3 linked regions of the Drosophila melanogaster genome follow. The protein of the gene in region 2 interacts with the protein of the main gene of each other region in a pairwise test. Each region holds a gene or a part of one and is shown on either strand. Other genes may lie near its edges.

Region 1 (4,988 bases), 4.3 Mb from region 2:
GCCTACAACTGGACCGTGTCCAACAGGACCAGCGTGTCCCACAGGTCCGTGGCCAGCATTGACTGGGTGTCCTCCGTGTCCTACAGGAACATGGCGCAGATCACCGGGAGTTGCCTGGACGGTAGCCAGGGCAATGAGGAGGAAGGCACACAGAGCAAAGAACTTCATCGTTTCAAAATTTGATACACTTTGAGGTGCTGGAAGATCTTATATACCTAATATCGTAACCGTTTACAGTTATCTTTTTTTTTATAATTTTTCGTTATTTTTTGGGTCACAAAACACTAAATTATACGAAATGTATTTCAATATATAGGTTGCCCGTTAATTAGCGATTATGAACAGGTGCGATCATTGAATACCGGTCATTCTTGTTATTTCTGCATTTGTTTGTGCAAACAAGTTTAATTATATTATTTATGGCAACTGTGCTTTGTATAAAAAATATCCAAATTTTTAAAGCCTATATTTAGGCTTTTAAGTAAATGTAAAATAGGCTTGCTGCTGAATTTGATTTATTAATACTCGACGTCGAATTGCAGATGTAAAATAATCTGTGTGTTTGTGAGATTTCATGCAACTAATCGGATCCTCCGATTAATTGCAAAATGTCCAGGAATATGTTCATTACATCCATGTAAATATTTAGGGCAGCGAATATGTACTCCTCGGGACTAATGGAGTACCTATGCTTGCCTCCCATCATCAATTGTGTATCGTAAACTAAATAAACGGAGAAGAGCAGAGCGCTCAATGAGGCATATATGGTGGTGACCATATGTCCGCCCACGAAGATGGTCACAATTCCAAAGAAGAGCAGTATTATCAGGCAGCTCACCAGGAGGCCACCCATGACGGTAAAGTCGTAACGCGTCTGCAGAGCAAAAAGGGTGAGTCCAAGGCAAACTGACGCCGTGATTAGCACGGCCATGAAAATCTCCATTGGGGCATAACGACAGGCTGCCACGCCCAGCAGAAAGGACTCGGCTATCGTGAAGGCAGATAGGAAGATGAAGTTAGCTGGGGTCTGACGACGCAGATCCTCATTGCAGCCCAGAGCCACCAGAGAGAAGACCACTATTAGTATGGCCACCACAAATATCCAGGTGCTTTCTGCCACCATCAGACGCACCCGTTTATCAGCAGTAAGTGAAACTATAACCACCAGGGAAGTGATCAGTTGGGCCAACAGGATGAGGTACACCTTCCGGATGAATCCTCGCCGGATGCTGGCGCTGCAGAATCCCAAGCCCTTGTCTGGATCATCCTGTCCGATTTCCGATCCGTAAGCTGTATATCTTCCCAGCGGAATACACTCCGCCTGGTGGCTCCGATTTCCATACTGATGTACTGGTTCTTGTAAAATATCCAGCATTGTGTCCTTCGAACACAACTTTCAAGTAACTGCTAATTCTTAATTTAATAACCTTTGTCGGAAATTGAAGTATAGTATGACAGAAGAGTCAACGTTAAATGGAATTTACTTCTTAGAAACTATAAATCTTCTTTTCATAATTAGTAACTATCATAAACATAACTTTAACTTCATTTCTTTAGAATTCGAAAATTCACAATATTATAATATTATAATAATATATATCCAATACTGTCTTCCGTCTTATATACATTTGCAGTAATGCGTATTTATTAAATTCAAACAACAATTTTATGTAAAGATTTAAATATGTGACTAATTTGAGCAAAAACGGACTTACGGATAACTAAATGACTATATGGCTATATACACTCTGCTGTTAATACTTATTATTTATACATATTTTAAATGGTTGCAAATGTACCCCTTAGTGCGTTGCAAACTTCTGTCTGAAATCATTATACCCTCTGCAAGGGCATACAAATAAATACAACAAATTCTGCTGCTAAATAGAATATTTATTCCAATATTCAAGTAGCTTTCGTGAAATTATAAATTATCCAGCAGTTTTCTTAAGGTTCCCTTCAGAGATCGCACTGGTCTCAGGAGAACTATTGGCCTGGACGGCAGCCAGGATGAGGAGCAAAAAGGCGCACAGAGCGAAGATCTTCATTTTGGTAACTTTAATGAATACAGTCTAACAGTTGGCATGGCGCTTTTATACTACCGTTTGCAGTCGATTGAGACCAGTTTATAATTTCTATATAATTAGCATATTTAATCAAATTCTTATGCTCGTATTAATAGAATTTTAGCAATACTTTGAAAACAAGTTGGATTGCGTCATTAACAATCACAAAAAATGTGCTCCCTAATATAAAATAAAATTATTTATAATACTATTATACTAATTCCTATAATTCCAAACGGCTGCCATTGTAGCTTAAGAGAAATAAAACACGCTTATTACATTTTGACTTTTAATAAAAGAATACAATTATTTCCTTGATTTTGCTCTCATTTTTTGTATTATCTTTCGCGGCAGTTCTTTCCAAACATTTTTGGTATACCGGTAAGGATCGATGGCGTTCCTAGCGGTTCCAATCGGGAGTGGTGCCTGGGCCTTCTTGCCCCACACCTTCGGGTGTCGCCAGATTACGGGCTTTCCATGCTGGCCACCACCCCGGTATCCAAAGACTCCATCCTCGAAAACGGTCTCTATATTATCGCCGAAGGCTGTGCCCATATACCGATCTCCTGCTGCGCAATCGTAGGCCCTATAGAAGTGATTGTGGGCTACTGGATATGGAGGCGGTATAACTGGTGGCTCCTTCATTGCAGTCTGGGTGCTATGATTCACCACGTTCCTAAGGGCTTTGCGCTTCGGTCTACGAGTTCCCGCCGGCGGAGTCACATCCAGATCGAACTCCAAATCGCTCTCACTTGTGTCGGTAAGCACCAAGTGGTCGGGACATGGCTCTATAAAACGCTTCTGGCACTCTTTCTTGAGAGCCTTATTCAGGTGAAATTTATCCAAGGCATCGCGACAGGTGCACATCATCAGGGACTGGTGGCACTTGCACTTCTCGAAGCCCTGATCCTTGAGAGCACGCTTGATCTGGCGCAGTGCCACCGCCATATCGCTCTTGACGATCCGGAACGTTATGGGTTTCTGTTTCATACCCAAAGTGGGCAGTGGACGAAGGGTTACGAATATATTACCATTTCGCTTGCAAATATTGAGCACGGGATGGCCAAATCGTTTCTGTTCCTCGTAATCAGCTGTTACCTTGCCGCACATATTCGGATCTCTACTTCGCATCAGGAAGTGACGCATCACATGGCCAGAGGATCGTAGGATGGCACCTGGCCGCCAGCCATTCTTCCGTGCCTCGCAACTTTTTGTCCAGTTCCAACCATGGCGACGAGACACAATGCTTGAGGACGAAATGCAGTTTTTGTGGCCAGCCTTTGGATGATGGCTTCTTCCGTCAAGTATTTTGTCTCCTGGGTATAGCGATTTGGTCAGCTCCTTGATGGATCGCCTGCTGCGGATAGTGAACAAGGACTGAGATGCGCAGCGTTCCTTAATAGCTGAAAGCTTCTTGGTGTCGTGGATATGGTACAGATTCTTTAGCTCGGAAAATACCTTCGCCAGGTAGGGAAGATCATCTTCCCCCTCAGATTCCATGACCACACAGAAATCCTCACTTGACCGGGGCTTCGGAATTCGGCGGGGAGGTTTTGGTGGACTCTTGGCGGTAAAAATGTCATCGCACATCTTGCGGATTCGGCAGTGGGGGCAGGTATTACCCTTAGAGCATGTACAACGGCATGGTGGGCACTCGGTATCGTTCCAGATCTTCCGGCGCACCTTTTCGCATGGTGGCTCACAAAAGTCCTCGACTCCGGGCGGTGCTTTTGGTTTTACTAGTTGTTCAGCCAAAATTTCTTCTGCCGTAATATTCTCGATCGGATGTCCTTGGAGTATGGGAACTGCTTTAGTATTGCATTGAGGGCATGGTGCATATTTTGGCATCCACGACATGGAGCACAAGCAGACAGGACAGAACCGTATAGGTTTCACGCCATGTAATAAGTCGGATCTAACAGAAACAGGTATGCCAGATTTCACGGGAGCAAGACTTAGAGACCGCGGTGTGTAAAATGGAGTTATGACATTCGCATCGGAAGGTGGCTCCGTAGGAACCAACGAGCTCGATTGCGGTTCCATTTCTTTGACCTTCTTGGTCACAGAGTCAATGATATTAGAATACTCCTCGGTGAGCTTTTTAAGTTGCATAAATGAGGGTTTTTGCTTGGGACAGCGGTCATCATCTGGAAAGATTGCTCGACGATTTTCCAAGCTTTTGTAGCGCTGCAAGTCCAGCTTCAGGCGTTCATCTCCTATTTCGGATAGAAGTTCAGAACACGGCTCCGAGGGAATTCGAAGTAAAGGATCAGGATCGCCGATGAGAAACATCACATCCTGAGGATTGAAGGTCGGGCCCTGGCTAGCACAACTGACTCGTCCGCTTTTCTCTTTCTTCGGTAGTATCATCGATGATTTGCTGGTTCGGGAAAGACTTTGCCTTGAAGGCTTCTGCTCTGGGTGCTCCTCGCACTTTACGGTCAAGCGGATTAGAACGCTCACCGTTCCAACTACATCAACTCGACGAACCAAATCGAGTGTATCTTCGTGCACCAGATCGTTCATCGTGGGGCTGATCTTGTCAAGAAACTCCACAGGGAAGTTCCCCGTGGCCTTGCCAAGAGTTGATCCCTGGTAAACACCCGCCAAAGTCAAACCCTTCTCCTCCAGACTTTGACGCAATGTCGATGCTTCCATTGGGAGCTCAAACTCCCTGCCGGCCACAAACTGGTCGACATTGATTCGGCTGGACGTTACCTTCACTGATTTTCCGGCAACCTTGGTTTCCACCAGGAGTTTGGCGGGTTCGTCAATCGTTACGCCAAAAATATTCAGATTGGTGATGACCAAGTCGAATAGAAAGTTAGCCGATTCCGTCATTTTTTGGTTGCTTATTTGCTGTATTTTAGAATTTGTATGTCCTAGGTCAGTTCTTCTGAGGTATCATCTATTAAAATCGGT
Region 2 (7,001 bases):
TTCCAGGGTCTTCACTTTTTGTTCGTCCTGAAGGCCTACGACCTGCGATGCATCACCAAACTGCCGCTGGATCACGAGCTGAAGAGCCGAGAAAGATGGTTGACCTACTCGTACTTCTTCAACAAGTTCATGGATCTGCTGGAGACTGTGTTCTTTGTGCTGCGCAAGAAGGATCGCCAGATATCCTTCCTGCACGTCTTCCACCACCTGGTGATGTCCTTTGGCGGATACCTGCACATTACCTTCAACGGCTATGGAGGCACTCTGTTCCCATTATGCCTGCTCAATGTGGCGGTCCATGTGATCATGTACGCCTACTACTACCTGTCCTCCGTCAGCAAGGATGTGCAGACGAGTCGGTGGAAGAAGTACATCACCATTGTCCAGCTGGTCCAGTTCATCCTGGTGCTGGCGAACTTTAGCTACACCCTGATGCAGCCCGATTGCAATGCCTCCCGAACTGTGATATATACTGGCATGTTCATTTCCACGACCTTCATCCTGATGTTTGCCAACTTCTACATTCACAACTACATACTGAATGGAAGCAAACAGAAGAGCGCGTTGAAATCCGATTGAGGCCGCAAATCCTTTGAATGACGGTGACTGTGTGTTTCGCGATACCGACTAACTAATAAACTTGCATTGGAGCACTCAGCACCAAGACTCTACTGGGCACCGTATTCACAGCTATCTCAGCACTAGCCCTGGCCAAGTTACTCGCTAGTCTTTTAATATCTTGAAGTCACTTAGCATATCCACGAGTTGTGGTACTTGAAAATCAAAGCGTGGATAGAACGCTTCCCGAATTCCCATTTAAAATGCACACTACGGCATACGAATGTAAATGCTCCATTTAAAGAAACATTGTAACAATTTGTGCCACTTAAGGTCGAGAGCCTAATTTCGAGTTTGGATTAGTCACTATCAATCGCACAACTCGATTAGATTCGCCATGTTCGCTCCGATAGATCCTGTAAAGATACCCGTTGTAAGCAATCCATGGATAACCATGGGCACATTGATTGGCTATCTGCTGTTTGTGCTCAAGCTGGGCCCCAAAATCATGGAGCACCGAAAGCCCTTCCATTTGAATGGCGTCATCAGGATCTACAACATATTCCAGATCCTTTACAATGGTCTAATACTCGTTTTAGTAAGTATTTGAACTGGGGCTTCTGGACATCTGCAGGTTCTGATGGGAGGATGCTACTTTTACAGGGAGTTCACTTCCTGTTTGTCCTGAAAGCCTACCAAATCAGTTGCATTGTTAGCCTGCCGATGGATCACAAATATAAGGATAGAGAGCGTTTGATTTGCACTTTGTACCTGGTGAACAAATTCGTAGACCTTGTGGAAACCATTTTCTTTGTGCTCCGCAAAAAGGACAGACAGATATCCTTCCTGCACGTCTTCCATCATTTTGCGATGGCATTTTTTGGATATCTCTACTACTGCTTCCACGGATACGGTGGCGTTGCCTTTCCACAGTGCCTGCTAAACACCGCCGTCCACGTGATTATGTACGCCTACTACTATCTATCCTCGATCAGCAAGGAGGTGCAGAGAAGTCTCTGGTGGAAGAAATACATCACAATTGCTCAGCTGGTCCAGTTCGCCATTATTCTGCTCCACTGTACCATCACGCTGGCACAGCCCAACTGCGCGGTCAACAGACCCTTGACCTACGGATGCGGATCGCTTTCAGCGTTTTTTGCAGTGATATTTAGCCAATTTTATTACCACAACTACATAAAGCCAGGAAAGAAGTCAGCGAAACAAAACAAAAATTAACTAAATTTAAACTAAATCATGAGTACAAAGCCTAAAGATTCGTGAAGCAACAATAGCCACAGCCTATTTTTGAATATTTCATATATGATTTTATGGGGTAAATGAATTAAAAAACATTTGTTTTCTTGGCGTCAAACTATTTTTGAAGGCAGTCTCACCAGTGTCATGCAAAGGGTAGTTATAAAAATAGCTAAAAATCGAATGCATAAAGGGGAAACGCAGGCATGCGACTGCTAAGGGAAGTGCATGCACAATGCACGTTTAATGTCATTTAAAACGGCAATTACTCAGCACGCTCGGTGGCTCGGCCAGTTGGAGGCCCCATTCCAGGGGCCAAGGAAGGACGAAGGACGAAGGACTAAGGACGAAGGACCCGAAAAGCTAGTGCCCAACCAGGAACCACTGCACTTGACTGCGGCTTCGCTTTAATGTTGCCGCATGGCCGCAATTATTCAGCTGGCACTTTGACTCTGATTCGCCGCATGCGATTCCTATGCAAATTCGGCCGGCCACGGGTGACCCTTCCGGTGCCATAAATCGCCGGTGCTGGGCCAGGCTCGTTCCTAATATTCTAATTAAATGCAGCATGGAATGTCCAGAGACGTGCTCGGTCCAAGTTCTGCGGAGCATGCAGATCACGTGCCAAGGGGAATCCCCTCGATTCGACGATGGAAACCACGAGTAGTCGAGATGTGGCCGATGGGATTTATTCCGGACGGAGTCTAACTCCTTGACCTTTTCGACTGCATTTGAATTAACTGTCGATGCATTTGAATTCATCTATTATTCAAACGGCGCATATGCAAATTGTCGAGTACACTCAGAGAAACCAATGATGTATCACTTTATAATTCAAATTTAATTTAAGAAGCCAATGTATTGTAAAAGTAATAATAAAATATTTGTTGATTACAAATACATTCTTATTAAATAATACAAAAAAAAAACAGGATCAAAGGTGGGAATTTTATAACAAAAATTGTATGAAAGTTGGAAAGACACTCTTCATTCCTATGCACCCCAATAGTTATGTACATACGAATTACCAGTTTTTGATCACAGTGTAGCAGGTGCATTCAGTTGACCTTGCCCTTGGACTTGACCTCTTTCGGCCGAATGTAGGTCTTTATGTAGAACTTGGTGAACATCAGAAACATGAAGGCGCTGGCCGAACTTATGACATAGATGACACCCCGCGACGCCGAGCAGTTTGGCTGGAAATAGGTGTACATGCAGTGCAGGAACATCAGGAGGAACTGCACCAGCTGGCCCAGGGTAAGGTACTTCTTCCACCAGAGGCTCTCCTGCACATTCTGGCTCTGCGACGAGGCGTAGTAGTAGCCGTACATGACGATGTGCACCAGAACATTGAACATGCAGATCAGGAAGACATGGCCACCAAAACCGTAGAATCGGATCAGCATGTGCGAGGTGAAGACCATGAAGACGTGATGGAACACATGGAGGAACGTGATCTGGCGCTGCTTCTTGCGCAGCACAAAGAATATGGTGTCCATCAGGTCGAGCACCTTGTTCAGATGGTACATGTACGACAGTGTCCTTTCCGTGGACTTTAGCTCATGATCCTGCGGCAGGACTTGCATGCAGCTCAGGTTGTACGGCTTCTGCACGAATAACAGATGGATGCCCTGGGTAATATGGAGCAATCCATTGAAAACGATTAAAAAACTGTGTATATCGATATCCTTCGACTTACGTACCCACACAAAAATCACCGAATTGAACAGGACTTGTCCGATGTTGTAGAACTTGAGCACACCTCGCAGCTGGAGTGCCTCATGCTTGTCCATCAGCTTCCTGCCCAGCTTGAGCACAAACAATAGATACACCGTGATGATGATCACCGAGGTGCGGATACTGCCCGCCAGCGGCAGCTGGACAGGATCGGCGAAGGGCTTATCGAACACCTCGAACATTTTCGCGCACGACTTAACGAGTGACTTGACTTTTACCTTCTGTGATTTCTTTCTTTCACGATAGCCACTATACTATTACCTATTTGCTAATTACATTAGTGCAAATTTCCGGTATGTTTAACCCACTATCAACCTTCAACTTGAATACTTAAAGCTTTGCAAATCGAACTAAATACAATATAAGTAACAGTTCAACTACGTTTTTATTTTCAACATTTTATTAATCAGCAGTGCCATTATTTACAAAATTACTCCTTTTGACATTATTGTCAATACAACAAAAAAAGTGTTCTACATTTATAAAATACTGGCGAGACCCAATTAAAGGGGTATTTTGCATATTTAATAGCATTAAGCAGTCGAGTGGATAGAGAGTTCTAGAAACCAACAAATATCTCCCATTGCTTTATGTAAAATATATATCTATGTATAATATACGATATATACAATGATATAAAACAAATGAATTTGTTGTATCAAAAGCATTTATTAATGACATTGATTAATGTAAGGAACAGTGATATTAAATCTTAATTAGTTTTGCTCATCGGCCCACCGCCGATTTCGTTTTCTTGGGAAGAATGTAGGTGCGAACGTAGAAGTTACTAAATAGAATTATAAATACTACAGATATCAGTGAGCCCCAAGTTGCCGATAATCGTGATGTTTGACAATCAGTTTGCCGGAGGATATAGACGCTGTGCGAGAATATAATAACAAATTGGACAAGCTGAACGACTGTGATGTATTTCTTCCACCAGAGATCGCCACCCGAGTTCCGATTGAGGGACGACTGGTAGTAGTAGGTGTACATCATGGTGTGCACCACCACGTTGAAGGTGATCAAGAAGAATCCATGGCCGCCGTATCCATAATAATACATGTACAAGAAGCCTATGTACACCATGTATACGTGGTGGAAAACGTGCAGGAACGATATCTGGCGATACTTCTTTCTGAATATAAAGAACACAGTCTCCAGCAGATCCATGAGCTTGTTGAAGAAGTAGGAGTAACTGAGCCAACGCTCCCAGTTCTTGTACTCATGATCCAACGGCAGATTGGATATGCAACTGAAGTTATAGTTGCCAGGACCAAGCATGAAGTGCACACTCTTTAAATTTGGAGATACATATAATGAATATTAATATATTTTTGTTAAAAAAAAGAGCATTACTTACAAATATTAACAAAATGACATTGTATGCGATTTGCACGATGTTGTAGATCTTGATAGCTCTATCCAGATTGTAGGGCTTTTGATTCTGCATAAACCAAGGACCCACTATTTTTATGAAGACTAGATAGATTCCAAGGATGGTCAACACCGGCCAGTGGCTGCTGGTCAACGGAAGACGCACAGGATCCGGTGGCGATCGATTCAGGAAGTCCAGCATATGGGCAAACATGTCGGATATCTAAGTGTTATCGACGTCGGTGGAATAGCGACTGATGTGGACTCCGGCCGAGAACCGAGAAATGGTAATCTGCTCGTTTTCGAGGCTGATTTAAGTGTGTGTTTCTATTATACAAATACCTACATACGTAAGTAAAACCTATTACGCCGACCATATAAGAGGGTATTGCGGTCACAAAGTAAGGAAAATAGGTTTCCATCGCTTGGAATGCCGGATATGTTGAACATCCACTGTCCCCTGGTTACGAAAGGTAAAATAATGGCATTCGTATTTAGTTTTTAATGTAGTCCAGTTTTAAATGCAGTCCAGTTTTTAATGCCTTTTGACGTAATAACTTTAACGTATTCTAAGATCAATCGATTTTATATAATTCTAACCGTGTCACTTCTAATGAAGTTTACTTACACTTTGTTTGATATTGATATTTTCGTAGTAATAGCATACAATTTCGGGCAAAGTCTTGTGTTATTCCACCTTTTCCATCATAATATTCATCCGAATATCAGTCATTACTAGTAAACAGATATACAATTCAAATACATCTTTATGTTTTTTATTAGCTCTAAAATTAAAATAGGTTTCTCTATAGAGATCTAAATGCTGCACAGAACAAATCTGATGACTGGCTCTAGCTTAGATGTTTTTCTGTTTCCTTTTCTTGGGTCGAATATAGGCATGAAAATAGAAGTTGCTAAATAAGATGATGAACACAACGGAGATGCTGCCGGCACAGGTCGCCGAGAACCGGGCTGATGGACAGTCCGGTTGCTTTAGGGTGTAGATACTATGCCCCAGAACGATTCCAAACTGGATGAGCTGAACGATAGTGATGTACTTCTTCCACCACAGATCGCCCTTCGAATCGCGATTGAGCGACGACTGATAGTAGTAGCTGTACATCATGATGTGCACGACGACGTTGAAGAAGCACATAAAGAACCCATGACCACCGTATCCGTAGTAGTACAGATACATAAAGCTGAAGTACAGCATGTACATGTGATGGAAGACGTGCAGAAAGGATATCTGGCGATCCTTCTTTCGCAGCACAAAGAAGACCGTCTCCAGCAGATCGAGCAGCTTATTGAAGAAGTACGAGTACGTAAGCCAGCGCTCCCAGGTCTTGTACTCATGATCCGGCGGCAGGTTCTTGATGCACTTAAAGTTATAGTCTCCGGGTCCCAGCATGAAGTGGACAGCCTGTAAAGTGGAATTTCTATATTAAACAATCCGTGATGGTTGATATTTTTGGGGGGAAACTCACAAAAAAGCACATGATGACATTGTACACGATCTGCATGATGTTGTACGCCTTTATCAGACCGCGAAGGTCAAAGGGCTTTCGATTCCGCATGATCTTTGGACCCGCTATCTTTACGAAGAACAGGTAGGTGGCCAATACCATCAGGACGGGCTTGTGGCTGGCCAGGAGTGGCAGGCGCACAGGATCGGGTGGGGATTTGCCCAAAAAGTCCACTAGATCACCCAACATTGCGATTGTGTGTGCTTACCGTGGATCGATGGAAATGCGACTAATTTTATTGTGGTTTATAAGCTTCGATAAACACGCTTAATTGGTATGGTAATTTAGGCGTGAGTACGGCAAGTAGGGTTTACCAATACTCGAAGCATGCGACAAATGCATGATTTGTATTTAATTTGAAGAGCCTGAGGAGGCAGACAGTGAAAGTAACCATGAAAATTGATTCCCCTTGGCTTTAAATCAATACCAATAATGCAAAACTTTCCACGTACCTTCGCAACTTTAAACATGATTATGAAAATTCCATTAAAAGTTTAATGGGCTCCCGGGAAATGTTCGAAAATCACGCACATGCGAAACGAAAGCGGT
Region 3 (5,070 bases), about 10 Mb from region 2:
ACCTAGCTCTTAATCACATACTGACCTCCTTAAATCAAATGATACTTAAGATATCTTCAGCTTTGTGGTATCTTCAAAACTCTACACTTTGTGCCACAAAACGAATACCTGAACACAAGCGATTTGTAGACAGCACTTATTATAAACCAAATGGCATAACTTCCAAGTCAAATACCTAACTACTTTATATCTCCATATAACTATTTTTCACGAGATGCTTCAGATGCAAACTAGCAATGACCAGATCTGGATTGAATAGAGCTTACTTACAGACCAAATCGATATATATTCCATGATATTTATAGAGATTAGTATGTTTATAAAGTTTTGTGAATAGGTTAGTAAGTGAGCTAATGCTGGAGACACACGAATATATTCTGCAAACATTTAAATAAAAAAGCTGAAAACCACAAGTTGGATAAATATTTCTATTGTTGTTCATAATGGTGGGATACAATGTAGAATTCGAATGTAGAGAGCAAGACAATTAAGTATGCAATACGGTTAGTAAGATATTTTATTCTACGAAACTCATATAAAACACACTAAGTATAATTGATACCATATATAATTAATTATAGGATGGGCTATCTTATGTTGCTCGTAACTAGGCAAACATCGAATGGTGGTAGAGTGCCGGTAATCTCCAAGAATCGTCGAAGGATGTGGCAATAGGTGTTTCCCATGGGCGGAGATTCAGTTCCTTCCGCCGGAATTCTAGCCACCTCGTCCGGAGTGTCCAGCTCCCTAACATAATCCATAAAGTTGTCCACATTGATGGGTGTCTCTGCCCTCGTCTTTGCTGGTTCCGTCTGCAACTTTCGCTGGAACTCACTTCTGTAGTAGTCGTTGATCATGGACATCATCCCCTTGGAATACCAGTAGATGATGCCAATCAAGAATAGGCCCTGCATGAATGGACCGACCATATTGTATGCTTCCACTTGATTTACTTATTTGTTCGATAGATCCTTTGGTTTCTACTGCTGATGCTCCTCGCGGAAGCTTTCAAGCCATTGATTAACCATGTAGAATTGCTCCTTGATGTGCGGCCAGGCCATGGTGACAATTAGCATTATGGTATTGGCGAAGACAAAGAGTTTCATCATTTCAAATGCTATTGGAAAGGGGTAATATTTATTAGTTAAATGAACTATATATTTTTAAGGAGCGAAAATTACAGACCCTCCGGAGTGCGAAGATAGTCGCCGAAGCCGGAATTTAGATCCTTGTCATCCTTCTCGTCCACCTTCTGCTCATGCTTATGCTTATCCTTCTCGTCTCGGCTCTTGCCCTTACCACCACCCTCGACTTTATCCTTGCCAGAGTGTCCTTTACCGTGCTTGTTCCTGCCGTATCCCGTGGATGAATTGGCAAAGGCCGATTTCTTCGGCTTCATTGCATCCAGATAGCAGCAGTTGGTCGGTCAGCCTGCACAGCACTGCATTTGATTGGAGTTGGTCCTGGAAGTGCTCTCCGCCTGGTGCTTCCTCGCCAACTGCTGCTCCGCAAATGACACAAACTTTGTGGTGCCAATTGGCGTGGCGCCGCTTCTGGCAATTTTATGGTTTCCATTTTATTGATTTGCGATTTCTGCTTGTCGCTCTGGCTGGGTGGGAATGGTGGGACAGGTGACCAAATAGAAATATGTTGTTAGTGGAGCAATGCGCTTGGATATTTAGCCGGGCATGTGTACTTATTATACCAGTCACACGAAATGTGTGTCAACTTGGTGGATGAAGGTGGTCGCCGGTAGGGTTGGTGTTTGTGGGTTTACATTGGTCCCAAATGGCTCTGGTTCCTGAAAGCTTATTTAAATATCATGCAAACCAGTTTTAATTTATTTAATGCCTTATTCTGCCAAATAGTTTATAATAGTTTTGCATTGATCTAATGTAAGCTTTACATTTTAAACAAACTACGTGTAGATGCCGAACTTTTGATTTATTCCCAAAAGTATGCAACCCAATATACATATTCGATTCGCGATAAGCGAATGTTTAATGAGCTAAATTCGAATACTGTTCGCGAATACTTGACACACACTACAACTAACTTATCAAATACGCCCAGACATATATTAAGTATACGTTATTACGTGAACGCAATAAGTTGCTGTCCCTTGTTTACCACAGCTCCGACCGGTGGCTGCTCCTTGTCCCGCGTGACCAGGCAACATGTGCCAAGGCCGCCCAGGATGACCAGCAGACAGAAGGCGGACAGGGAGAGGGCGGGGCTCACCTGCCTGAGCAGCGTGAGAAAAGAGGCGGAGAGCTGCCACACCCGCGCCCACGTGACGGCGGAGAAGGAGAGGCAACTACGCTGCTCCATTGGCACCAGTTCGCCCAGGCAGGCCAAAATCATGGACTGGGCGCAGGCTACGGCCGCCTGGGGAAGTGATGCCATTAGCAAGCCCAGCGTCAGTCCATACACCTCGGGCATATCCTCCTCGGCCAGGAACCAACAGATGCTACCGATGCAACCGACCACGATGGCAAATCCCCCCGCCCACTGCCACTTGCGTTCACTCAGGTTGAAGGTCAGGTGTAGGGCCAGGAAGCAGCCAAGCATCTCGGCCAGGCCCATGGCCAGTGTGTTGGACACCAGGTGCTCCCTGCCAAAGGACCGCACATGGAGCAGCAGCCCAGTGTTGACCACCATGAAGGTGGCAAGTGCCATGTGCACGGCCACCAAGTGGAAAGTACTCCTACGCTGGCCCATCCACAAGTGCATCCAATGCACGGCGGGCATTGGCTCCAGCATCCTTTCTCTCAGCTCCTCCAACTGCTGGGGTAACTCCTTGGACACTTTGTGCATTCTACCATTGGTACGGGCTGCTTCCAGCAGGATACCCACCGTTCGCTCGATGGCCAGTTGAGCTTCCTTGGTGTGTTGCAGCTGCCAGCGCGGTGAGTCCGGAGTCCAGGGTAGCAGAAAGACAATCACCAGCAAGGAAAGAGTTACGCCCAAGTATATGTGCTGCCAGCTGGGAGCATTGGAGGCCAAGCCAGGGAGCAGAATCAAGCCCAGAGCCCAGAAGCAGTCGTAAAGTATGAGGGTTCCTACGCGATATTTTCCCGCTGTTATGTCACCAACTGAAAAGTAGGTTATTTAATATTAAAGTATTCTTAAATATTCAATTTTACTTACATATATACTGCCCCGAGGTGATCATAAAACAGCACGAAACAGCAGCCAGGCATCGGAGTCCACAGTGCAGACTGAAGTCTTTGACAAGACCCATCAGTAGGCTGCACATGAGCAGGCACCAGATGCCAGTTCTATAAATCTGTCGGGGACTCAGGACCCGCATCAACTTGGTGGCCGCCACGCCACCGATTAGGAGGCCAAAGAGGTGCCAGTACTGAGACCAGGCCACAAAGAAGTCGCACAGACACACCAAATCGAACTCCATGGTCAGGGAGTGGAAACCCGTGGTGTAGAGGAACTTTCGACACTGGCGCATGGCGTAGGCGGACTCTCCGTAGTTAACCATCACATAGCAGTGGTCCAGCGAGACGGTGGAGTTGACATCCGGCCCGAAAGCCGTCGTATCACACTTGTACTCCTCCTCGGGGTACAGATCCGGCGCTGTGAACAGGATGCAGGCCATGAACCAGGCGGCTGGAATCTTGCAGAGAAATAGGATGAGCAGGGAGCGCAGTTGCCAGGGCCCAAAGTTCCCCATGATGTGTGTGATGACATCGTCATCGTTGTCATCTGCTAGATTATTTGCTTTCGGGTGTGGAGTTTGAGGAGATACCTCGTTGGCCTTCGGATCGGTGCAGGTGAAGCTATGCGCCATGTGGCCCAAGTCCAAAGGAGCAGGTGAGTTTCGGCGTATATTGGGCATCCAGCCTCGATAAAGATTATCCTTCTTCATTCTTAGTTAGCTGCCAAATTTAGTTACCACGTCTTGGGAGTGCCGACCCTCCAGCATGACTGCGACTTCGCTTAGCACCTCACCTGGGCAGGTAAACTCGAGGGCTCCGGTTTGCGGTGCCTGCCTACGACGTCGTCGCTAATCAAATCATTCCAAATAAGCGGAGCAACGTTCCTAACCGATTGTGCAAACATTTTGGCCGACAAGTTGCGATCTATTTTCGCGGCGATCTTACGGATTTATGGGAGGATCTAGCCGGGGAATCCGATCGCGGTGGCGGGCAATTGACATGATTGAAGCTAATGAATTGGACAGGTAAACAACATCGGAATTCGAACTGATTGGAAAGCTTCGCAGCTGTGGATACATTTAATTTAATGGTATCGCCATATTTTATATAATAGATATAATACTTATCTACTCCGGAGTTTTCAAGTTCATGGCTTTTGAATTATTGAAAATGGCCTAGAACTCTTAGCCAATGGTATGGACTCCCACTTCATGACTTCTTCAATGATCATTAACGAAGGTCTAGTGTTGTCCACATCCCCATCGAAATATGATGTAATATGTTTGTGCTCAAATGTTACGTCTGAGTTGCTATTTTCGTTGGCCAATTGCATGTTCCACTTGCATTTTCACGAAAAACTTGTTTCGGGAGGACCAAGGCATTTCTTTTGCCAAGCCAGTTAGGCGTTGAAAGTGAGTAGCTCACCGGATCAGTAGCTATCGTGGCTTCAAAGTGGCCACACCATGGACAACGCCGAAGTGAGTACTGTGGAGCACCAGACGGATATTTACCAAGATGCTGTGGTCTTCATAACGGGTAATACAGACGCGATCTCCAAAAGAGACTGTTCAAAGATGGTTAACTTTAATAGGAGCAACTGGCTTTGTGGGCAAGTCGCTGCTGGAGAAGCTGCTCTGGAGTTTTCCGCAGATCAAGCGGATCTACATGCTCATCCGACCTAAGGGCGGAGTCACAGTAGAGGAACGATTTCGCGGATTCCTTCAGAATCCCATTTTCGAACGCATAAAATCGGAGCATCCAACGCAGCTGAAGAAAATCTTTCACTTCTCTGGCAACATTGAGGACGACAACTTAGGTATGGCTTTTCAGAGAAACTTTAAATGAAAACTCATGACTTCACCAGACTTTTCCACCAACAGGTTTAAATGAGTCCGAC

The links.
Region 1: the proteins of CG16904 (region 2) and Recs1 interact in a two-hybrid assay, tested with the Drosophila melanogaster proteins (one large-scale study listed by BioGRID).
Region 3: the proteins of CG16904 (region 2) and Xport-A interact in a two-hybrid assay, tested with the Drosophila melanogaster proteins (one large-scale study listed by BioGRID).

What each region holds. Positions count from the first base shown.
Region 1 is NT_033777.3:14,152,385-14,157,372, forward strand, and holds Recs1 (Recs1), read right to left. Parts: upstream 1,446-4,988; 5' UTR 1,376-1,445; coding exon 581-1,375; 3' UTR 501-580; downstream 1-500. Other genes in the region: CG42500 (uncharacterized protein), read right to left, coding at 1-168; CG44215 (uncharacterized protein), read right to left, coding at 1,932-2,048; CG31533 (uncharacterized protein), read right to left, coding at 2,373-4,907.
Region 2 is NT_033777.3:9,813,227-9,820,227, forward strand, and holds CG16904 (uncharacterized protein), read right to left. Parts: upstream 3,754-7,001; 5' UTR 3,732-3,753; coding exon 3,516-3,731; intron 3,444-3,515; coding exon 2,871-3,443; 3' UTR 2,702-2,870; downstream 1-2,701. Other genes in the region: CG8534 (uncharacterized protein), read left to right, coding at 7-579; eloF (elongase F), read left to right, coding at 956-1,156, 1,222-1,794; CG9459 (uncharacterized protein), read right to left, coding at 4,276-4,845, 4,913-5,140; CG9458 (uncharacterized protein), read right to left, coding at 5,783-6,349, 6,414-6,641.
Region 3 is NT_033777.3:19,913,896-19,918,965, forward strand, and holds Xport-A (exit protein of rhodopsin and TRP A), read right to left. Parts: upstream 1,518-5,070; 5' UTR 1,400-1,517; coding exon 1,186-1,399; exon of another isoform or gene 1,182-1,185; intron 1,118-1,181; coding exon 981-1,117; 3' UTR 930-980; coding exon of another isoform or gene 588-929; 3' UTR 501-587; downstream 1-500. Other genes in the region: Xport-B (exit protein of rhodopsin and TRP B), read right to left, coding at 588-929; CG4465 (uncharacterized protein), read right to left, coding at 2,095-3,095, 3,151-3,883; CG4770 (uncharacterized protein), read left to right, coding at 4,637-4,709, 4,765-4,989, 5,054-5,070.